Ovis aries: one gene and its partners. The main gene of each other region encodes a partner of the protein of the gene in region 5 in a complex. Links are inferred from orthologs where the notes say so. Each region holds a gene or a part of one and is shown on either strand. Other genes may lie near its edges.

What was found.
Region 1: the proteins of CNOT1 (region 5) and DDX6 are in contact, whole or in part, in a crystal structure (PDB 4CRW), measured with the Homo sapiens proteins. The link is inferred for Ovis aries from reciprocal best matches to the Homo sapiens genes CNOT1 and DDX6. Residues at the interface, in NP_057368.3 of Homo sapiens: Glu1097, Ala1100, Phe1101, Phe1103, Asn1104, Asn1105, Leu1106, Ser1107, Ser1109, Asn1110, Lys1114, Lys1137, Arg1138, Ile1141, Glu1142, Asn1144, Phe1145, Leu1148, Tyr1149; in NP_001244120.1 of Homo sapiens: Phe329, Ser330, Arg331, Leu332, Gln333, Ile334, Asn335, Gln336, Leu357, Gly358, Tyr359, Ser360, Leu384, Arg386, Asn387, Ala402.
Region 2: the proteins of CNOT1 (region 5) and CNOT2 are in contact, whole or in part, in a crystal structure (PDB 5FU7), measured with the Homo sapiens proteins. The link is inferred for Ovis aries from reciprocal best matches to the Homo sapiens genes CNOT1 and CNOT2. Residues at the interface, in NP_057368.3 of Homo sapiens: His1864, Ser1865, Ala1866, Ala1867, Arg1870, Asp1871, Gln1917, Pro1921, Ala1923, Pro1925, Ala2003, Tyr2036, Leu2039, Glu2040, Ser2043, Arg2045, Ile2048, Ala2049, Ala2053, His2054, Leu2079, Leu2084, Lys2086, Gln2089, Ile2090, Leu2091, Tyr2092, Lys2093, Gly2094, Leu2096; in NP_001186231.1 of Homo sapiens: Met350, Val351, Asp353, Gln354, Phe355, Gly356, Met357, Ile358, Gly359, Leu360, Leu361, Phe363, Ile364, Arg365, Gly372, Met373, Val374, Leu376, Ala377, Leu378, Gly379, Ser380, Asp381, Leu382, Leu385, Leu387, Asn388, Leu389, Ser391, Glu393.
Region 3: the proteins of CNOT1 (region 5) and NANOS1 are in contact, whole or in part, in a crystal structure (PDB 4CQO), measured with the Homo sapiens proteins. The link is inferred for Ovis aries from reciprocal best matches to the Homo sapiens genes CNOT1 and NANOS1. Residues at the interface, in NP_057368.3 of Homo sapiens: Ile2327, Ile2330, Lys2331, Trp2338, Glu2350, Phe2353, Gln2354, Val2356, Ala2357, Met2361; in NP_955631.1 of Homo sapiens: Phe40, Ser41, Ser42, Trp43, Tyr46, Leu47, Leu49, Thr51.
Region 4: the proteins of CNOT1 (region 5) and ZFP36 are in contact, whole or in part, in a crystal structure (PDB 4J8S), measured with the Homo sapiens proteins. The link is inferred for Ovis aries from reciprocal best matches to the Homo sapiens genes CNOT1 and ZFP36. Residues at the interface, in NP_057368.3 of Homo sapiens: Gln821, Glu835, Asp845, Ala848, Asn849, Phe852, Gln853, Tyr856, Asn894, Glu897, Glu898, Phe901, Gln904, Tyr905, Pro906, Glu909; in NP_003398.3 of Homo sapiens: Arg314, Arg315, Leu316, Pro317, Ile318, Phe319, Arg321, Ile322, Ser323, Val324, Ser325.

What each region holds. Positions count from the first base shown.
Region 1 is NC_056068.1:29,126,210-29,130,973, reverse strand, and holds the start of DDX6 (probable ATP-dependent RNA helicase DDX6), read left to right. Parts: upstream 1-1,599; 5' UTR 1,600-1,802; intron 1,803-2,015; 5' UTR 2,016-2,204; intron 2,205-2,233; exon of another isoform or gene 2,234-2,301; intron 2,302-2,455; exon of another isoform or gene 2,456-2,549; intron 2,550-4,764.
Region 2 is NC_056056.1:149,447,435-149,451,695, reverse strand, and holds part of CNOT2 (CCR4-NOT transcription complex subunit 2), read left to right. Parts: intron 1-570; coding exon 571-650; intron 651-3,227; coding exon 3,228-3,353; intron 3,354-4,261. UniProt on the Homo sapiens protein: Component of the CCR4-NOT complex which is one of the major cellular mRNA deadenylases and is linked to various cellular processes including bulk mRNA degradation, miRNA-mediated repression, translational repression during translational initiation and general transcription regulation.
Region 3 is NC_056075.1:38,763,008-38,767,516, forward strand, and holds NANOS1 (nanos homolog 1), read left to right. Parts: upstream 1-1,876; 5' UTR 1,877-1,966; coding exon 1,967-2,842; 3' UTR 2,843-3,668; downstream 3,669-4,509. UniProt on the Homo sapiens protein: May act as a translational repressor which regulates translation of specific mRNAs by forming a complex with PUM2 that associates with the 3'-UTR of mRNA targets. Capable of interfering with the proadhesive and anti-invasive functions of E-cadherin.
Region 4 is NC_056067.1:48,457,343-48,461,748, reverse strand, and holds ZFP36 (mRNA decay activator protein ZFP36), read right to left. Parts: upstream 2,861-4,406; coding exon 2,837-2,860; intron 1,987-2,836; coding exon 1,033-1,986; downstream 1-1,032. UniProt on the Homo sapiens protein: Zinc-finger RNA-binding protein that destabilizes several cytoplasmic AU-rich element (ARE)-containing mRNA transcripts by promoting their poly(A) tail removal or deadenylation, and hence provide a mechanism for attenuating protein synthesis.
Region 5 is NC_056067.1:25,913,638-25,917,898, forward strand, and holds part of CNOT1 (CCR4-NOT transcription complex subunit 1), read right to left. Parts: intron 3,256-4,261; coding exon 3,025-3,255; intron 2,710-3,024; coding exon 2,569-2,709; intron 1,560-2,568; coding exon 1,380-1,559; intron 864-1,379; exon of another isoform or gene 725-863; intron 1-724.

The DNA of each region.
Region 1 (4,764 bases), on a different chromosome or scaffold from region 5:
CAGTAAACTGAACAGAGAAAAGATCTAAGGTTTCATAATTTAATTCTATACCATCCATGCTTCTCACAGAGAACTGAAAAGGGCTGACATAAATAACTCAGATGGAAGGAGATCTTATAAAAACATCATGCAGAATCTTTAAAGGTGTTAGCCCTGGCAGGATTCCTAGGTGAGAACAGGCAGCTATTTCATGTTCTACTCTTGGTTGCCTTCTACCCTTTGGTTTTCATCATGACCTGAGCCAGGGCCCCTTTGAAGGTAAGAAATTTATGTGGGAATACAAACCCCTTTCCTTTGGCTGGTCTCATTTTTTGAGAGGTCTAGGGAAAGAGACCGGAGTAGGCTGTGGCCTGTTTTAAATCCCTAGGCTCCTCTCCCTCCTACTCACTTCTTGTCCTCCTCCACTTCACATTCCTGCTACATGGCAAGACAGTGGGGCCTCAGACCTCAACATTTTATTAAACAACCACTTAGCCATTCTCTCTCCGGTGTGGACACAAGATGCTGGTTATTTCCTTTAAATGAGTGGGTTTTTTAAAAGCTGGGTGGGCGACCACATGTTACAAATTCAGAATTAAAAAAAAAAAAAAAACTGTTAAAGGTCCGTTAAAAAAAAAATCTCAAGAACAGCCTTTTAACATTTCTTTAACACCTCTTTTTCGGCTGTGTGGAAATAAAAATGACCACCAATGAGAACAAGTTATTTACTCAAAGCTTGCTACAGTGAGAGCCAGCCACCTTCACTTAGCTGGGGACTCAAACGCCGACAGTTAAAAATAAAGGGGCGGATGGGGATGGGTGAAGGCTTCAGGGTTTGCTCTGATTGGAGGTTAACTCGGGGAAAGCTGGAGGCGGGCTAACTAGAAGCGGGGAGTCTAACGTGATTGGTTTAGGGGAACATATTTGGCTTTCTCTAATTGGTCCAGAGTTGGAAACACAGGCAAAAAGTAGGGAAGCTGGCAGTCAATGACCGAATCTGGCTCATTCTGAGCTGATCACTGCAGAGGTTGTGGTTTGGCTTCGCGTGTTGGTTGCAGCAGAGGTTGTGGGTCGGAGTTCTGTTGTCAACCTATGGTCTGGTCATTGCCTGGTATATTGTCTCTCAGTTGAGAGTGAGACCCAGGTTTTTATTATTCCTTTAACCTAGCCAACTTGCTAGCTTCCGATTTTTGTTTTACCTGGAACAAGATTGCATTCCTGTTATTTCGGTTAAGGATAAACGGAGACATTAGAATATGAAAAGTAATTATGGGAACAAATACATAAATATCTTTCTGATGAGGGTCGGGCTGGGGAAAGAATTACGCTTGGTCTTCTAGTTCATTTCCGTACAGAACTCCTATTCCCATCATAACTGACTCTAGCAGCGTTTCCTTCCTTCTGGGGAGGCTCGGCCTCCCTGGTTCCCTCTCTTTGAGGATTGCCCTTTAGTGCTGAGAAAGCGGGGATCGCTGCTCTAGTCTCCCACTTCCCTCTCCGAGGCTCGCTTTCTGGGTTCCTGCCCCGGTCGCACCCCAGCTACCCAGCACCCCACCCTCGCCCAACTTTCCCACAGCCTTCTCCACCCCTGCCCCCGCCCGCCCGCGCACAGCGCCCCCTGGCCCCCGCCCCGCGCTCTCCCCGGGGTTCTCCCTGCTGCACCCGTCCCGGCAGGTCCCCCTTCCTGTCCCCACACCCGGGTGCGTGCTGGCGCCTCCGGACCACTGGTTCCGCGCGTTCCTGGATGGAGGCGCGCCCCGCAGGGGCTCGGACGCGGCCCCCTTGGACCTGCAGCAGCCTCCCTGGCCCGCGAGAGATGTCAGGTCAGCTGTCTCGTCCCCGAATCGCTACCGGGTCCTTGGTCAGGAATAAGCAGATCCTCCTCGGGTCCCAAGCCCTCGACTTCCACTTTGGGGGGGGGGGGTACTCTTCCCACCCACCATTCCCGGATCATTTCTCCTTAGCTGTGGAAAAGGCAGTTCTCCTTTCTCTTTGAAGGGATCCATATTTCCCTTTCAACTTCCCCTCCATTTCAGCCCCCGCAGACTCCCCGTCGGTGGAAAAACACTGCCCTCCATTTTCTCCTGAGGAAGGCTCCTCGGCCCGGATTTCTCCTGACGCGAAGCAACGGAGGCCGAGGAGCCGCGACGGGTGCAGCAGCGGCAGCTGGGCGCTCGCCATCTTGCGCGGAGGAGGAGCCGCGGCGGCCGCCATGCGGAGAACGGGTGGGGGGGCAGTCGGCGACGGAGGGGGCGGGGGAGCCGAGTTAGCTCAGTCCGGGCGGCGGCTTCGGCGGCGCCTTGAGAGCGGGCAGCGGCGGAGGTAGGGCTGGCCGGCCGGGGAAGCGAGCGGGCGGGCGAAGGCAGGCCGGCCTGAGCGGCCCCCCGAGCGGGGGCGGGGCGGGGGCGGGAGGAGGCCGAAGCGAGGGGCCGGGTGGGGGCGGGCGGAGGTTTCCGAGGAGGAAGGAGCCGCCGCCATTTTGGGAGCTTCGAGTCAACAATAAAGGACCGAGGGTGCCGAGCGGGAGTGGCCTCGGTGGTAGGACTCGGGCCTGAGCCGCGGGGAGAGGGGTGAGGTGGAGGGGTGGCGGTCTGCCGTGTCGCAGGGGCTGCAGGAAGCCCCCAGGCTGGCGTGGGGGGCGCTCTGAGGCGGAGGCCTGAGGCCTGGCCGGGCCTTGGGGAGGAAGGCGGGCGGCGGGCGCCAGCTGTGGGGTGGGGACGCCGGGAGGAGTAGCATAGAGCAGTGTTGTGCCCGGCGGGGTCCGGAGGAAGAGCGGGAGAATTCCTCAGAGGAGCTTTGTGGGTGACGAGGGAGGGTGGGACCGTAGGGGGCGGCAAGGACTTAGGGAGATGGTGGAGGTTATAGGGTACGAGGCGGCCCTATAGGGGGCGGCAGGGATATGCTGTAGCGGAGGGCTCAGTTTGGAAGAGGACCGACTGCTTGACGGAGTAAGGCCTTGCAGGTCGATAACGGGGTGATTATGGAGCCTCCGAATGTCGGAGGAAAGAAGGGGCTGTCGGACTTAAAGGTTTCTCTTTTGGGGGAATCCCTATTGTTTCCTAGCTGGGGAGCTGGTTCTCTGCTCTGGTTGCGCAGATGCGATTGCAGGGCCCCAACCCTTTTGTGTTTATGGGCCCAGGGAGCTGACTTGAAGTGTGTAGGGGTTTTGGAGGGGGATATGAAGGGGAGGGAAACAAGAAGTTATTTGCTTGCAAATCAAAATCATTAGCTTCTTTCCTTTATCACTCACTCCCCTTTTTCTTTCTCAGTCCCCTTGCCCCTTCAAAATAGAACAGTCACTCCAACTGGCAGACCGAGCTTAGAGAAACTGCGCTGCATTTGCAAACAAAAGGTCTTTTTGGAGATGACGAGACTGTTTTGGGTGTGAAACTGTCAATCGCTAACTACGGTCTGGGAAGTGCTGTAATTAACTCAGCTAGGGTTCCCTCCCAACTAGTCTCTGTTTCGTTCGTATTTTTGAAAATGTAGAAATACAACTTGGAAATCTAAATTGGGAATGGGTAGGAGGAATATTTCTTTTCCTGAGACGTAAAGCTGCAGTGCAGCTTAATTAAGAGGGGAGCAGTTCTCACATAGTCACATTTTGGCTCTAGGGAGATACGAGGTCTTATGTGCATGATGGACAGTAATATTACCATTTAATCTTTAGAAGTTGCCCTCTTCATCCTCTTAGTGCTTTGCAAATAAGTAATCTTCAGGTGTGAAATAGGTGATATCGCTGATCATATATAAACTTGTCAATACAGGAAACCACCTACTACCTTGAACTGAAATTAGGTGGCTGTTAACTACCCTGCTTAAGAGGTCAGTCAGTTTCTGCATGACTTCAAAATATACAGCTTTGTGTATGTGATAATAAGGATTTGCTTTTGAGCAACTTTATTTTCAATTAAAAAAAAGACATCAAAGAATTTAAAATTTGTATTGTTTGAGAAGCTTTGGTGTATGGCAGAAGGAACAGTAATTAATTAGCTACTGTATTTTCGGTAAGAAATATAAAGGTGTTAACACACCAGAGTAGGCCTTTATTCCCTCCCACCCGCAGTTGTGAAATTAAGGTCTTACTTTTAAAAAAACATAATTTTATTTGGGGAATAATTTTTTAAAATAACTTAATCAGTACTCTGGGTGTCCTAGAAAGTTTGATTAAAAAGTTAGTAATGTCTTTATTCTTTCACAGATTTGTGTGTGTTTTTTTAAAGCACAGGTAATTTCCTCATTGGAAAAGACCCTAATGCTGGGAAAGATTGAGGGCAGGAGGTGGGGGGGCGACAGAGGGTGAGATGGTTGGATAGCGTCACCGATTCAATGGACATGAGTTTGTGCAAACTCTGGGAGGTAGTCAAGGACAGGGAAGCCTGGCATGCTGCAGTCCATGGGGTCCGTGGGGTCGCAGACAGTTGAGTGAGACTTTGTGACTGAATAACAATTTCCTTTTTGTGGGGTGTTGGGTTGTTTTTTTTTTTTTTTTTAATTAAACTGCTACTTCAAGTTGAGACATACTTTTGAAAGAGTTATATTTTAAAATGTAACATTTCTGTAGTAGTCAGACTTAAGTAAGATAGCTAAAGGTTTTCTTGGCTGTTTTTTGAACAGAAGATTTTGACATGTAGACGTATTTATGTCCCTTGACTGCTTTAGTTATTGTTTTTAAAGGGCAAAAACTTAGGGGGAAAAAGAAAGTGTAGTTTCTTCAGGTTTAACTTCTTTGGTTCAAATTCATAAGGGCATACATAATGCTTTTCTGAAAGCACAAAGTGAAAT
Region 2 (4,261 bases), on a different chromosome or scaffold from region 5:
TTTTAGAACACTGAATTCAGTTAAAGAAAAGCATCACTTAATTCAGGTCAACTAAACATTTATTGAGTACCTTTTGTATCCTCCTGAATGCTAAGGGCAAAGAGATGCAAAGGTGTGTCTGACATGAACTCTATCCATTCTAGTTGGGAAAAGGCAGACTATATGAATGAAAATCTTTTATGAAAAGTAATAATAGCACATTTTACCAGTAGTGAAAGAAAAGCAAATATTCAAGAATAGTCTTAAACTAAATCACCTGTTTTTGAGTTTAGTAACTTCTTCCAGTATATTCAGTAAGTTGACTTGCCAAGTACACAGAATGACACCCTTAATCTGTGCTTCATATAAATTCTTTGCTTTTTGTTTTTTAACTGATCGTTTTGGTTCTCAGTTGTTCATGGAAGGATTTTAGGGAACCTTTAAATAAAAATATTCAACTCAAAAATAAAATTAGTCTTTGTTTTTAGACATGTTGTTTTATATGAGGAGATCAAAAGTAAACACTTGTTTTTCTTCATCTGAAAGTTAGTGTTCTTACTGTATATCTAAAATTATTTTCTATGTACCCAGTATGTCTGGATTTGGAATGAACAGGAATCAGGCATTTGGAATGAATAACTCCTTATCAAGTAACATTTTTAATGGAACAGGTAAGCTTATTCTGGAGCTAGTACCCTATAAAAATATGATAGATCTTGAAATATAAAGCAGTTCAACGTACTAGTCTTAAAATAATTAAAGGAATTTTTGTGTTTAAATGATAGAACTTAATTTAGGGGAGAATTTGACAGGAAATAGGATTTAATTCAGTCAGTAGTTAAAAGATGGTTAAATATATTTTTTCACTTGGCATGGTATAGCAGTGTTATAACCTCAGATTTGTTTCCTTAACACCTGGAGAAAGCATGAACGTTAACTTAGTCTATATTTGTGCCTCAGAATCTTTTTGCTTCAAGAGCTTTTCTTATCCTCAGTCCTTTCACTGTGGTCTGAACTAGGTTGAGCGTTGTGGCATTCTGGCTATAGAGACCCAGATTGAACAAACCTTTAAAACTATATGGAGCACTTACAATTTTTTCTTAATAGTTTTAATAATACTAATTTTTGCATTTAACTCATAAATTTTTAATCTGGTTTTATGTGTAAAATTCAAAATTTATGTACATAGAAAGCCAATTCTGATTTTGACAGTAACGAATTTTTGCAGTCTATTGGTTTCTTTTATCAGCTGGCTTTAGACAGAAGAGAACGGGAGGCTTTGTTACTATTCTGCTTCAGGTTTTATCTTCTTCCACACTTGCCTCCAGACCCTTTCCTGAGAAAGCAAATGAAGGATGTTGTTATAGTCAGAGGAGCAAAAACGAGTATGATTGTGAGAGAGAAATACAGTAAAGGAAGTGGAAGGTGAAAGAATGATTAGTGAAACGGGGTGTATGTGGAAGCATGAGATTAGCAATTGAAATGATAGTTCTGGCTATTGGCTTTTAATTTTTCAACATTATTGTATGTTTACTAGCAGCCTGGATTGACCAAGTGACACTTAAGAATTTCAGTTTTTTGCATTTAAAAAAGTTTTGTGTTCTGATATGAAGTACCATATTCCGTTGTTTCTCAAAAGCACGTTTTTTTCATATTTAAATATCTCTGAAATTAGGATGCAGATCATAATTTAATTAGAGAAGTTTCTTTCCCTCATAAATGAACCGTAAAGTGACAGTGTGTCTCACAGTGCCATCTTATTTTCTGAAATATGGTTTATACACTTCCGTAAATTTTACAGTTATTTTTTGAAGTCATTTTTAACTAAGTATATTTTATACTAGGAAAGTTGTTTCCAAGTCTTACACCCTAAAAATAAAAATTTGTGAGTTAATACTATTTTTAGTGATTTTTAAATAATATATGCCAATTTTAAACTCCATTTTAGAGGACCTGAAGAAGTGTATTAAAAGTTAATGCTTACTATAAGTTTATAGTTAGAATTCATAACCAAGTAATTCAAGAGAGATTACTTTTTAAAGTACTGTATAAGCTATTGTTATGTATTGTTGCCTTTTTATATAATGCCTGTTTAGAATTCAGAATTCATAAGCTGCAGTTTCTTTAAAAGCAATGGGTTTGAATTATTTTATCTTTTACCCTTCATAATTTTAAATTGTCACCTGACTTGGAATGTAACTGTTTTCTATGAACAGAGTAATCTTGAGCTGTTTCTCTCTGAGATCCTTCTAGTTATGAAAATTAGAGAAAAATTAAAGTGAAAGAGGGGGCAGATAAATTGAAACTGGTTAAACACACTAGATGAGACAAAGTAAAACTATAGTGCATACTAACAGTAAGATAGAAAATAAATTCTTCAAAAATTAAGAATATAAGATTGTTAGAATATTAGAATAATTAATACATTGAGAAGAGATCAAAGTAATGATTAAAATAGGCAAAGTAGAAATGTTGGATTAAATTTTAGTTTTTAAAAGGAAAGAAACTGATATTTTAAAATTCAAAATAAACAGATATTTTATTTATTCAATTTATTGAGCGCCTACTGTGTAATAGGTAATATAAACTTCTGGGCTTTGTGTCATATTCTCATACAATTCACTCACCAGACATGAGAGCTCTACATGTATCCTATGTTCTCCACCCTACTTATACTCTCAACTGCAAAACACACATACTCACATACTTGCATGTATATACATTTGTATATGGAATAGGCCAAATAGACCAAAAATATCCTTAGGGATTCTGTTCCCATTGCTTGTGCCTCAAATATGATTCAGACCATTTGCAGGAGGCACTGTCATTATCACACCAGTGTTATAAATGAAGCCCCAAGCATTCCAGATACAACCTCTGTTTTTGAATACAGTGAAAAGAACAATTTTATCACAACAGCCTCCCCTCTTACTAATCAGCAACTTATAACTTGAATACCATCTTTCACAGGGGAAATAATGTACCACCTTACTCCTTATTATCTGTCTTAAGTCTCTAGGATTTGGGTTTGTTACTGTGTAGTAGGTACATACTGCTTTGCTGAGTTGTTCATAAATTCTTTCACATGAAGTCAATCCACAAATATTCATTGTACATTTACATATACCAAGTACAGTGCTGTACGTTGTTTAGGAAGAAGACACTGCCATTTCAAATTTTATTATAGTTAGTAATAATCTCTTTAAAATGTTTGTAGAGCAGTAACTAGTTTGTTTCTTCTTATTTAGATGGAAGTGAAAATGTGACAGGATTGGACCTTTCAGATTTTCCAGCATTAGCAGACCGAAACAGAAGGGAAGGAAGTGGTAACCCAACTCCATTAATAAACCCCTTGGCTGGAAGAGCTCCTTATGGTAATTAATTAAGCTTTTTATGGATGGCTAGTGAAAATTTTCTGTTACACACGCACACGTGTATATTTGCATGCATGTGTGTGTACACACATGTATTTATGTATTTTCTAATCAGAGTAATGTAGTTTTGTCAGAGTCGATAAATGCAAAGTGCTTTTTTTCCCCAGAATACCATGATAGCAGAGTTAAATGGGAAAAATTTGTATAGAAACCCCAAAAGGAAGTCTTCATTGGTATTCAGAAGTTATTTTTTTCTGGCATTTCTGCCTTAGTACACCTTAATAATCTATGGTTTGCCTTTGTTCAGTTCATGACACTTTTTTTTTAAAGAATACATTCTCACATTCCTAGTAATTAATAATGACTAACCATACACTGATGATTTTTTCTAAGCCAGTTTCTCAACCTCCACACTACTGATATATGAATAGATAGTTTCTTGTAAATGAGAGACTGTCCTGTGCATTGCAGAATGTTTATCAGCATTCCTGCCCTTTGCCTACTCAATGCCCAGTAGCACCCCCACCCCTACTCCCACCCTTTGTGCACGCCCCCCCTCCCCGCCCCTTCCCCCTGCCCCTGGCCATTGTGACAACCGCAGATGTTGACACATGTCTCATGGGAACAAAAAATCGCCTCCTGTTGAGAACTGCTTATGGGTCATGTATATATAGTTTATGTAGACTCTTGGTCACCACTCATACCCTTTTTCACTATCTTTAATAAATGAGAGATTTGGCTAGACATGGGAATTATGTAACAGCAATATTTTTTTGTATCCTTTGCACATAATTGTTTCCTTTTGGTAGAATGTGATAAAGACTAATAGTAAAAACTTAAAGGGATCATTTCATCAGTTCTGAGATACCTGTTTTTCCCATTTGCAACCAACGTGGGTTTATGTTACT
Region 3 (4,509 bases), on a different chromosome or scaffold from region 5:
CCTGGTTTGGGGACTTAAATCAACCATCAGGGAGTAGGAGGTGAGGAAGAGGCTGAAAAATATAACTTCCACCCCGGCATGTAGACAGGTGGCCGGGACAGGCACCACGTTACTGCCTCAAGACCTTCCCTGTCCCTGCTGCGTGGTCCCTGGATCATGCCTGAGGGCAGGGGTCCATACCAAAGGCACAAGCCCCCATCTCGCTTCTCTTCCTCCGTACCCCCATGTGCTACACTTGATTTCTGCTGATGCTCGCACAGACAGTCTCAAAGTCTGAAATAGCTTCCAGATTCACGGTGTAGAGGGAAGGCCACCAAGCCAGTCATGAAGAGGCCTGAGTCCTCACTCTGGCAGTGTGACAAATTCACTGTGTGTTGTAAAGAAGCCTTCTCTTCTCTGGGTCTCATTTTCTTCATCTGTAAAGTTAAGATCGGACTGAATGATACCAAAGATCCCCTTCACTGTGAGCATTGGGACTCATTCATTCATTCCCCTGTTAACCCGAGCCAGCACTAGGTTCTGGGCATCCCTATGGGGCCACTCTACACCTGCTGGGACGTACCCAGACCCACCCACTAATGACAGCTGCCAACACCAGTCTCCCAACCCTTGTTTCAACAGACAGAGCTCCTCCAGAGAGAGGAAGGAAAACCCTACCTGCCAGCTTAGAGGAGGCATTGTCCCCGCCCCTCAGCACCCTACAGGAACCCTCCTCCCACCTAATACTTTTCCTACTTTCCATATTTTAAAAAACCTTGTTGCTCCTTCTCCTGGGAAGGGCATGACCATCTCGTAGCCACCTAAAGTCTTCTGATTTATTTTCCACCGTTTTTACAAAAGTACAGTATTCATTTCAAAGTATTAAATGGTGACGCTGAAGTGGCCCCTGAATACGCTTTGTTATTTCAATTGCACAAACACCTCATATGTCAATACGGTCACCTCACCCCAGGGGCAACGGGGAGTGAGGAGCTACACACACTTAGAAACACACACACTGATCATTGTCCTAAGGCCCTCACCCCTACCTGTCTGTCACCAGCTACTGGCCACCACCTGGTCTCGGAACACCTGTTGGGAGGTGCTACAGTGCTGCTGTGGGAAAGTTATGTGTCCTTCCACTACTTACGAGGTAAGAACTAAAACCTCTCTGAAGCTCCCTGAGGTTTGTGAGAAGATTCCACTCAGTTGAAAGCTCTCCAAAACGCTGTGCAAAAGGAAGTTACTTGATTGCTGGGCGGCTCCCACTTAAAAACTGCATCGTTAGCTCGCACCAAGTCTTGCCTCCCCACATCTTTCCTTGCTGATGCTGATGAGAAGGAGAGAGGAGAAGGGGTTTCTCAGAAGACAGAGGCTGGCCCAGGGCACTAAAAGCTTGGGAGGTGGGTCTCACCCCCAGGCTGAGAGAGAGCCAGGACTGGTCACCTGTTCCAAACCAGGGGAACAGGCGAAGGCGGGCCCCAGCAGCCGCCCCTCCCCTACATCCCCCTCCCCTCCCAGCTTCTCGGTAGGGCACGCCCCCTCCCCCGGATTCACCAATCACCGTCCGGAGCGGCGCCCGTGGCGCAGGGGGCTCTGGTCAGCAGCCAATTAGCGCAGCGGCCCGAGGCGGTGCCTGTCCGCCCCCTCCCAGAATGAAAGCTGCCCGGCAGCTGGCGAGGCGGGCGCAGCGCGTGGGGTGCTGGAGCCTTGCCTGCCGGAGCAGCGCGCGCTCACTGCCCGCCCGCCCCCCGCGCGTCCGCCTCCGCTCCGCCTCCGTCCCGGGCGCGGGCGAGGTGGCCCGGGCGGGGGAGGGCAGGGGGCAGGGCCGCGGCGGAGAGGCCGCGGGGCGGGGAGGAGCGGGGCCCGATAAAAGGCGGCGAGGCAGTCCCACCCCGAGGCAGGCCGGCGGGCAGGCTCGGCTCGTCCCTTCCGTCCGGCCCGCGCCGGCGGCGGGGAGGCGGCGCGCGCGGCCCGCACCCCGCCCATGGAGGCTTTCCCCTGGGCGCCCCGCTCGCCCCGCCGCGGCCGCGCCCCCCCGCCCATGGCGCTTGTGCCCAGCGCCCGCTACGTGAGCACCCAGGGCCCGGCGCACCCGCAGCCCTTCAGCTCGTGGAACGACTATCTGGGACTCGCCACGCTCATCACCAAGGCGGTGGACGGCGAGCGGCGCTTCGGCTGCGCCCGCGGCGGGGACGGCGGCGGAGACGGCTCCCCGCCCTCTTCTTCCTCCTCGTCGTGCTGCTCCCCCCACGCGGGGGCCGGGTCCGGGGCGCTGGGGCCCGCGCTGGGGCCGCCCGACTACGACGAGGACGACGACGACGACAGCGACGACCAGGGGTCGCGGAGCCGCTACCTGGGGGGCGCGCTGGAGCTGCGCGCGCTGGAGCTGTGCGCGGACCCTGCCGAGGCCGGGCTGCTGGAGGAGCGTTTCGCTGAGCTGAGCCCGTTCGCTGGTCGCGCCGCTGCCGTGCTTCTGGGCTGCGCACCCGCGGCCGCCGCGGCCACCGCCGAAGCAGCGCCGCGAGAGGAGCGGGCCCCAGCGTGGGCGGCCGAGCCCAAGCTGCACGCCGCCAACGGGGCGGCCGCCACCCGGCTGCTCAAACCCGAGCTGCAGGTGTGTGTGTTTTGCCGGAACAACAAGGAGGCGGTGGCGCTCTACACCACCCACATCCTGAAGGGACCCGACGGGCGGGTGCTGTGCCCCGTGTTGCGCCGGTACACGTGTCCCCTGTGCGGTGCCAGCGGCGACAACGCGCACACCATCAAGTACTGCCCGCTTTCCAAAGTGCCGCCTCCGCCTGCAGCCCGCCCGCCGCCGCGCAGCGCCCGGGACGGCCTGCCCGGCAAGAAGCTGCGCTAAGGGCCCGGATCCCCATCTGCTGCTGCCCCATGATGCCACCAGGGTAGACGCCCGCCCACTCTCGTGTTTGGTCTGCGCACCATTTCTCCCTCGCTGCCGGGGGAGCGTGGAGCTCGTCTTGGCTTTTCCAGAGGAAGCCAACGGTACTGAGTATTTTCCTGTCGAAGAGCGGTTGAGACTAGACGTTAAAATCTTTGATTGTTTCTAGTTTGTGCACATCCAGACGGTGAAGGCTGGGTACTAACTGAAATGTGGCAACTTAGAGGCGCTGTGGTTTGTTTATACGTCGACCTATTTTAGATGCGCATCAGTATGAAATTGTCTCAATCTAATCTTGGATGTTTAATTTTATGAGTGGAGGCACTTTACTAGGTCTAGAATATTTTTTTAAAAGCCTCTCAACTGAACTTAAAACTGGCGATTTTATGGAGTGTCAGCAAAATGACTATTTTATTGTTTGAAACAAGTAATATTTCTGTTGTCCTTACCCAGTTATAATTCCAGGTGAAGCCCTGCCTGGTAGCAGCATTAAGTGAAGACTTGGTATACTTTACAGTAGTTTGGGTGGGTGTTCCCTCCTTGTGGCTTGTTTTTGTCCTAGCTGGAGATGTATAAAATGTACAATTTGTAGGTAGCAGGTAGAATACAGCTCATGTATGTACCAGATCTTTTTATTACTGAACGAGCAACTACCGTTTTCCCCCTTTAAAAATAGTGCCAAGTTATAATCATATTGTGTATACACTTGAAAATGGTGCTGTTTAAAAAAAATTGTGTATTTATACAGTAACAGTATATGAATTCATTAACCTTGCCTTTAACTCTACTACTTGGCTTTTTCTTTATGCCCCTTCCTATTCCAGTTCTTCAAAAATATGTCGTACTTAAGATCAAAAGGGTGCAGTATTCATTCACTCTGAATTGCTCGATTTCAGGGTCTCTAAATAGTGGAAATCTCATTCCAGCTGTTGCCTCTCACACTAAATGTAAGATGGAATCCTCTGAGCTAATGGAACAACTGGTGTTCAGGAAGGTTCCACTCTGGACTGTGTCAGCTTTAAACCATCATAGAAGTCAAACCAGTATAAGTAACAATTAAAGGAACTGACTGGGGGTAGGTGGGGTAAGACATGGAACACAGCCTCCCCCTATTGTGTTCCCATTCTCATTAGAACAACCATTCTGGAATCCCACCAGTGATTTTCATCCATGAGATTAAATCTCATCTTGGGCAAAGGTGCTTGACTTCTACTTTAACCTACCACACCGTATGTACCATCAGAACAGACACAGAAGGTAAAAATGGAAATTAACATGAAGTCATCTAAAATGTACAAAAATCACTATCTGAAAATAACAGCAACAAATTTAGTCTTTAGAGGTTCCAGGAGAGCTTAGCTAGGTTATTAAAAATTAGGCTGCCTTCATATTTAACTACCTCCCTCCACAGCCTATTTGCTTCATTTGAACACTTCTTTTAAAGTCTAAGAAGCTGCCATGATAGCTATGAGCTTTTTTGGTCAAAGGGTGGGAGAAGGGGGCGGGGGCACACAGGCAAACCATTCATTTCTTGGTCAAGAACTATAACAAGAGCTATACTTGTTAGTATAGCTCCAAATGAGAAAACTTCATATATGAATATACCTAAACTCAAAAGCATGCATTAA
Region 4 (4,406 bases), about 23 Mb from region 5:
CTCCCCACTCCGCCCCGCCCTCCTCCCTCGGCCCCGTGGGGACGGAAACATCTCGTCCCCGCCCGCGCCCTGCCGAGAGCTGGGTCGAGGAGTCGGGCAGGACAGGAGTTTCAGCGCCCCCCACGCCCCGGGAACTGGCTCTCCCGGCTCCTCTCGGGTGATCTCACCTGGCCCCGCCCTCTCAGGTGAACGGCTGGGCCCGGTGACGTCATTTCCTGCCAGGTAAGTGCCGCCAGCGCCTGGGCTCTGGGTAGGTTTGGAGGAGCTACCCGAGGCTGATTCCAGTTTCTAAAAAAGGCCACACCGTCCACCCCTCCCATCTTACTGCCTCAAGACCGCACAACAGCCGGGATTCCAATTTACACACAGATTTATTTAAAAATTCCAGAAAACCACAAAAATAAATTTTTAACAATATATATTACTTAATATATTATAGTGTATACTTATAACAATAATTATTTCATCGTTTCCAATATTACAAAAAGAGGAAGAAAAATACAAGGGAAGCAGACGACCCAATATATATAAATACTATAAAATCTATTAGAATAAATAAAGTCGTCATAAATAAAGGGCCCAAAGGCGGGGGTGGGAGAGCCGGGCGTTGGCAATGGCTTTGGCTACTTGCTTTTGGAGGGAAGTTTGAGCACCAGGATTCCCTTTCAGGTGAGGCTCCAATCACGACACTGGAGCCCCAGGATCTAGGAAGTAACTGGAAGAGGGCATTGGGGGCTTATTATTCACAGCATTGGGCAGGGGTGAAGTTGAAGAGGCTTACTACCTCCCTCAAACTTGCTACATTTTTTTTAAAAGACCCCATAAAACACTCCTTCCCAAACAGCCTGCACGCTGAGGACCTGCCCCAGCGCGGGGGTCAGGGGAGTGAGTTAATGCACTTTGGAAGGTGGGGAGAACTACATGATTACGAGTCCCTCAGTTCCCTACAGCCCCGGGACCCCTTGTGGAACCCACGCACAAGAAAAATGGCCCCCCTTAAGATCCAGCTGATCTGTACTAGGCAGGCACTTGTCACTCCGAAACGGAGATACGATTGAAGATGGGAAGTCGCCGAGGGGCGGCAGGTGGCTGAGGTGGCCCAAAAACCCCAGCCTCAAAGACAGGTGAGTCGGATCCCCCCAGGCTGCTGCCGCTGCTGGCATATTCGTCGGGATCAGATCCCAGGGAGTGTGCAGAAGGGCTCCGAGCTAGGCCACCCACAGGCCCCCAGACGCTGTTGGGGGTGGCCCTTCGGCAGGAAGGGCAACAGGCTGGGGTGGGGTCCCTTCGGGACACAGGTGTCCCGGGGGCAGCAGAGAAAGCAGAGGGTGAAAGTGGAAGGTCCCCGGGTGGCGGTGGTGGGGAGCTGGAGGGCGAGAAGGACCATGAGGGCACGGAAGGGCCTGCTAAGCTTGCTGGTGGTGGCGAGGTTCGGCGGCCCGAGGGCAGCCCTGAGAAACTGATGCTCTGGCGCAGCACATGGGGATGGCCGGGGGCAGCCAGGTCCTCGCTGGGGTTGTGGATGAAGTGGCAGCGCGAACCGTAGGGGCAGCGACCCTGGAGGTAGAACTTGTGGCAGAGCTCCGTCTTATACTTGGGGTGGCGACTGGGCTGGCGCAGCTCACCCAGGCCATGGGCAAACTGGCACTTGGCCCCATAGCGGCAGCGCCCGCTTTCTGAGAAGGTCCGACATAGTTCAGTCTTGTAGCGGGATGAGGTGGTGGGAGTCGCGGTAGGCGAGGTGGGTGAGGGCGACAGCTCCGAGCTGGGTCGAGGAGCCAGGGGCGCAAAGCCTGGGGGTGGGGGCACCCAGCCGCAGCTGCGACCCTCCACCAGGCTGGTGGAGCGGCCAGGCAGGCGGGCAGCGGCCTCAGGCAGGCTGGAGTCGGATGAGCTGAGGCTCCAGGGTCCCGAGGAAGCCCAGCTGGTGCTGGACTCAGTCTCTCCGAGGTCGGATGGCAGTTCAGGGCTCAGCGACAGGAGGCTCTGTGGAAACAACGATCGGTTAAGACACCGAAAATACAGGGTGACGCCCCGCCCCAGCTGCAGGGCAACCAAGGGCTTGCCAGTCCGGTTTGTGGGCTCCCGGCCTCAGCCCCACCCGCCCTAAGGGAAAAAAAAAAAAAAAACAAACCTCGGGTTCCGGATCTCAGGGATCCCGATTTGGAGGTTTATTCGCGATTTAAGCTCATCCCGAGGGACCCACTAATCTCGGCTCCCCCGGCTGGATCAGAGGGGCCCTAAAGTCAGGACAGACTGCTGTTCTCCAATTTTTTAAGCCTCTGGGCCTCTCGGGATCTGACCCCACTCATCGGTTTCTCCAATTTCACAAGTGGAACAGCGGGCAAAATTAAGCCAGGAGTCCGGATCTCTTCGGGTTTAGAATTCCAAGATCCTCTGGGGCAGGGAGCGAAGAGACAGAAGTCAGCTCCCGCTCACCCTGAGACTCCAGCCCCAGAAACGCCTCCGCGCAAAACCGCGCCCTCAGCAACTACTCGGGTAATCCAGGTGTGGGGGCCATTTCCGCCTCCAGACAGCCCCGGTCTGAGAAAAGTTCTCCAGCTTTCCATCTCCGAGGGCCACCCCACTCGTGTTGGGGCCGAGATCAGAAAGCCACAGGCTCCATTTTCATCCCCAGAGGATCACACTGATCTGATCCGGGAGGCAGGAACCCCGGGCCGGTGTGAAGCGCTAAGGAGTTCCAGTTTGAGAAGGGAAACCGGTGCGGGGAGGGCTGGTCCGGGGCAGGAATTTGTTTGCGGCCCTAGAAAGCCCTGGTTTGAGAAGGGAGTCAGGTGTTGCGGACGTCGGGGTGCCGATCGGTTGGGGGGCTCACCTTGTAGATGGCGGCGAGATCCATGGCGGCGCAGATGGCCGAAGGATGTAGAGCCGACGGAAAGTGGGAGCGCTGAAGTCACGCTGCGGTGGAGTGGAAGAGCCGCCACTTTTATTCGACCAGAGGGGAGGCGGGGCCAAGGGGAGTTGGCCCCGGGAGGGCGGGGCGAGGAGGGGCGCTTCCCGGACGCGCGCCCCCAGCGCAGCACTGCCGGCCCGAGTTCGGAGCCCTTCCGCCTGGATCCCGGCCCGAATTCGCCTGAGCGGGGCCCGCGGGCGGTCGCGACCCCGCGGGGAGTGCGTGAGGTGGGGGGTGGGGGTGTCGGCCCAGTTTTCAAGGCTGGAGACTGAGGCGCGGAGAAGGGAACCGGGACGGAGGTGGGGGCAGGGCTCCCGGGGGAATTGACAAGGGCAGAGGCGGAGAGGGCGTGCGCGCGCGACACTGATCGACAGGGGCGGGGAGAGGCGAACCGAGAGCAAGAGAGAAATGGAGGGACGCAAAGAGAAAAACATGGGGGCACACACACACACGGGGGGAGCTACGCACACAGGGAGACATGCACAGAGCGGGGGAGACAGGGTGAGGAGAGGAGGGGAGGTGGGAAGGCAGAGCTTGAAAAGAGACGTAGACAGTCCCCAAAGAGACAAATTCAGAGCGAGAAGCGGGAGGGAGGGAGAGTCGTACAAATAGAGAAGGGGCGAAAACTGGAAGAAACAAACATCCACAGACAGAAATCCGCAGGAGCAAAACAGTGAGAGAAGAGCCTCCCCAATCCTGGACGGTCTTGCTCCCGAACTGCCCAGATCCTGAGACCTGGACCGCCCTCTTTGCTCCCATTCACGAGGATTGGGGGTGAGGTGGGGTCCCACACACCTGGTGAGGTTGGAAAGGGGCCTCATTTCCCAAATACAGGACCGCTGTGTCCTCTCACCCTCACACAAATAATGGCGCTTCTGATGGCTTCCTCTGGGCTAGGCACAATTGCAGAAAGTGTCTTACATACATTAACCCAAGGAGGTATTATGCCCATTTTAAACACAGGGAAACCCAGGCATGAAGAGGCCAAGTTATTGTTAGTGAATGGCATTAGCTTAATACCAGGGCCTTAAATCATATTAAAGGGAGTTTGCACTCAAGAAAACTCAAGATTGGAAAGGGGGAGATCTTTTATTATGATGGAGGGTTTCTTTGCTGGAAAGCTGTCTCAAATGGAAGAAATGGATCATCCCCAACTGATGGTCGGATGGGACTCTCATAAAGGGATGTGCCTTGAAAGAACTCTGCGTTTGCAGAAATCACTCCCCTCATTGACAAGTCTTTTATTGTAAAGGAGTTGCCCTGAGTGATGCTCTCTTAAGATATGGTAAAAACACTAATTTTTAAAGGGGGTCTCCAGAGCTGGCTGCCCTGACTGAAAATACGGTGGTAGAAATAAATCATTGCCACGGAGTGCAGTTATTATGGTGGAAAGTTCATTCTTGCAGGTTGTGACTGCGGACTGCGGGCTTGTATTGAGGTGGGGAGATTCTGCTAGGCACGCTGATCTGCTCGTCCGACAGAGCACGGGGGA
Region 5 (4,261 bases):
TTTAAGAATTCCATTATTCTACATTAAAAACAAGCCGTCAATACTGAGAACATGCCCCAAGGTAGATACTGTCCACGTTATCACTACAATATTTTGTTGTGTTCAGTGACATTTTTACCTTCAAACGTCTTTACATTTAAAAAAAAGTAAAAAAATTTACAAAACTAAATTTTACAGAAGGTAAAAAATATAAAATACATCATATTGATGTGAAATACCACCACGTATCACGTATGGTCCCAGAGCAAAGTATTTTAAAACTGAAAATTTTAGCTAAGTTTGAAGCAGCGACCCAACTGCAAATCTATTTTGAAGAGCTAAATTCAATTCAAATAAAGACTACCGCTATGATTTTTAAGTCCTTCCCAGACAGCAGGCATACTAAGGAGTATAAGAAGACTGCAGTGCTCTGTTGTGATCTTTAGCATTATCTTTGGAAAACAACTGAGATTACTTTCTGGAATACACTGTAATATTGCTTACCCACTTCGAGAAGACCTAATCCATTTCATCAATTCTCTACTTTTAACTTTCTTAAGGGAGACAGAACCAACACTCCAGTGTCTTGCATACACTCATACATTCATTTCCTACATAATACCTTTTATGGCTATTAGTTTAAATTTATACTTTTGTCTAAAAGAAAGAATCTTTTGATCCAAATCATGTGGAGATTTTCATATCCCAACAATCCCTGCTATCAAATGACAAAGGCTGAATTTAGTTATGTTCCTTAACTCCATACAGCAACAGCAGAATGGCACAAAGTCAGCTGTGCAATAGAAAGGAGCCAGGAATTCTTTTGCACTACAGCGTAACCAAGAATAGGGAAAATTCCTATTCACAGGTTTAAATATAGTGCTGGTTCCTAAGCCAATATCCCAAGTTATTCAGCCAAGAATGCTTTCAGCTATATGCTGGTTCACACTGTTTTCTTTAAAAATTATTCCTCCTAAAAAAATACTTAAGATATTATAGAACAAGCATTAGCCCATTAGGAAACGTTTGGCCTTAAAAGAAACTGAGAATCTTAAACGGCTATTTTACAACATTCAAGAATCTTGAGGTATCTGGCATTTAAGACATAAATGATGGTATGGTATAGAATGACGAAAATGAGTATGTCTGTAAGACTAAATTCTTCATGAAAACTTAGTTCTGTATTTGAAACAATGCCTAAAGCAACCTACATAAATACTGTAACAAGTACAACATACAGGAGAAAACAATATCCCCTAATTCCACCTGTGCAATCAAATATTTCCAAACTAAAAACAGTAGTAAAAAGAAATACAAAGGTTTGACAGAAAACAAAATTCTGTAAAGCAATTATCCTTCAATTAAAAAATAAATTAAAAAAGAAACACCAGAACACTTACTTTGATGTTTCTATAGGTCTCATTCAGAACCATCTTATTAAATTCAGGATTTTTCAGCGTGTCAAGGAAGTTAGAATACAGGCTGTGAAAGTTTGGCTCAATACTGACTCTCTTCATAACCAGGTATTGTGAAACCCAAGGCATAAATTCTTCCTTCACAGTTTCCTTTAGTTCTTCAACCTAGCCAACCATTACAACATAGGAAGTATTCAATTAAGAGGATAAAATACAGTTTTATGTTTCATTTCTGTGAACACAACTACAGTGCATGGCTCCTTGCAAAATTAGATGCTAAAGCAACATGCTACATCTCCCCAATTTTACACAGTTGCTATCAAGTACAGTATATTCAAGTCCATGTAAGTATAGAGTCAATCATCTGGGTAATTATAACTGAAACATCTATGATCACTTTAAGCTTTAAAGCTGAAAAATATGTAGTCCTTCATCCCCATCTTACTTACTCTCCATTTTAACAAAAGAAGATAAATTACTAATCTACAACCTGTTATTAACAAACCTGATGCCAGAACTATGTTTTTCTACATTTCTATCTCTAGGAATTATTTGTAAAGTTTGAAACTCTTCTTCCAAAAACCATGCAAAATGCTTCAAAAATTTCCCCTAATCAATTATGGTGAGATTCTCAAAGACAGTACTTGCATTATAAATTACATTTCAAACCCTTTTCTTTAGGCTAATTAGTATTGATGAAAACAGACATTTCCAAGTATTATCTTAGCATATAATCTTGTAAGACAAGCATCAATTCTTTTCAAAAGCTGTTAATGATCTCTGGGAGGATATGAATTGGGACTACAAATACAAATGAAATTCCCATCATGAAATCATTTTCAAGCTTACTTCAAAAAGCCTGTAACTCACTGGAAAACAATACTATTTGGGACTTCCCTAGAAGTTCAGTGATTAAGAGGTTCGATCCCTGGTCAGGGAACTAAGATCTCACATGTCATGCCATGTGGCATAAATAAATAAAATCAGTGCTATTTAACATCTACAGAATCTACAACCACTAGTTGTATATCCAAGTTCCCTTCATTTTGATTCTATTATCTCCACCTTTAAAGATTAAAAAGGATAGAGAATATCAAATATGAGTCCCCCAATCCATCAAGAAAAACAACAGAGAACATTTGTAGTGATATATAAACTATTACTTCAGACTCACCTTTTGTGTCATATTTGACTGGGAGAGGTTGTTGAAGATAAAAGCAATTTTCTCCTGGATATTTTCTGGGGGCTCTACGATTCTCTCAGTTTGATCTGTGGCCACAAGCAATGTATCTATATTTGTTGTATTAATAGAAGGCTAAAGAAATAAAATACATAAAATTAACAAACTGAAATCCTTACTAGACAAATCCTAGGGGTGGGGTATTTACACAGATTCCTTTAGTATATAGAATACATATGGTATGTACAACTGTGCACTTGAAGTGCTGGCAAGAACATGTACTGAACTATTCATGGGGGCTGCATGTGGGAAATCGGGGTGGTAAAGGGAGAAATGCTGATCTTTCATGCTTTTTTAATAGGCATGTGTTATTTATAATAAAGTACATGCTCACTACTGGATATATTGCAACGCAACAACAAATACAACAAAGAAAGTAGACCTACTTACTGGCACATCTTTCTTAAAGCTGACTCCAGTTGGCCTGGTGACTGTAACCGTTTTAGCAACAGTGGTGGTTGTTGAGGTGGTTACCATAGTGCTAACCTGGCCAGCAAGGGGAGCTTTTGCTGGAACCTGGGCCTGGGCCTGGGCTTGAGCCAATGCAATACTTCCAGGGGTTGTGATAGAGCCCTGCATTTTCACCGGAGGATCTCTAGATTGCTGTCCATACTCAATATACTATAGGGGTAGAGAGAGAAAAACACATTAAATAAGAATTCTTAACAGAAACTGAAATACTTGAATTAAACTCCCCTCACTTCTGAGAGACTGGAAATCATTTCAGAGCACTCTTCTGGTTTATCTATCTCCCTTATATCTTGCCCCATTCTGGTGCATATCCCCATATGTGTAATATGTAAGTGGATACCACAAAATTCTGAAGAAATAAAGCTAAAATGTTACTATGCTTAAGTATTTATAAGAGAACCAGTTAACAAAACAAGTTTTAAAAAGGTAGCCACAAATGCTTGCCTATAAATTTCCTTAAATTCCTTTACATAAGTAAACTTAAAGGTTCTAAAATTTATATAATAAACTGATTTCTATTGGATGCTAATGAAAAAAAACCACAGCCTAAAAAACACTGCAGTGTGAGTTCCCTCTCTGTAAAGCTAATAGCACAAAACAAGAACAATTTATACCACCTAGCCAACTGAAGGGTAAGCAATGTTCTAGGATAAGTTTCATCCCTCTCCTCCACATTTCCCAGTCCAAAAAAATTCCTTCTCCCACACAAATTACAAGACTGACACAGCCTTCCTGATACTATTACCAACAGCTTGTTCCCAACCAAAAACTAGTACCTATGTATATATACCTAACTTTATTAAAAAAAGGAGACATTTTCAAGAAGGAAAAATACAGCCCTTTAAACTGAAATATAAAGAATGACTTCTCTCCTCTTCTCTGGGTAATAAATGTGTTAAAGTGGGAACTCAGGATCACTGTTAGTGTGATCATTTTCGTACCATCTCCCTTATTCTCCCTCTGTAGTCTTTCAAGGTCCCAGATCTGAATTTCATGCTCATCTGATTGTAGCAGCCTGTGACTTCCCATCCAAGCTTTTCAAACTCTTTCTTGTCTAGTTTTCAGTGCCATAATTTTGGCATAGCCCTCCAAAACCCCTCAATAGGCATGAATATACTCCTGCCCCCCATGCTATAGTTTCCGAGGCTAAACCATC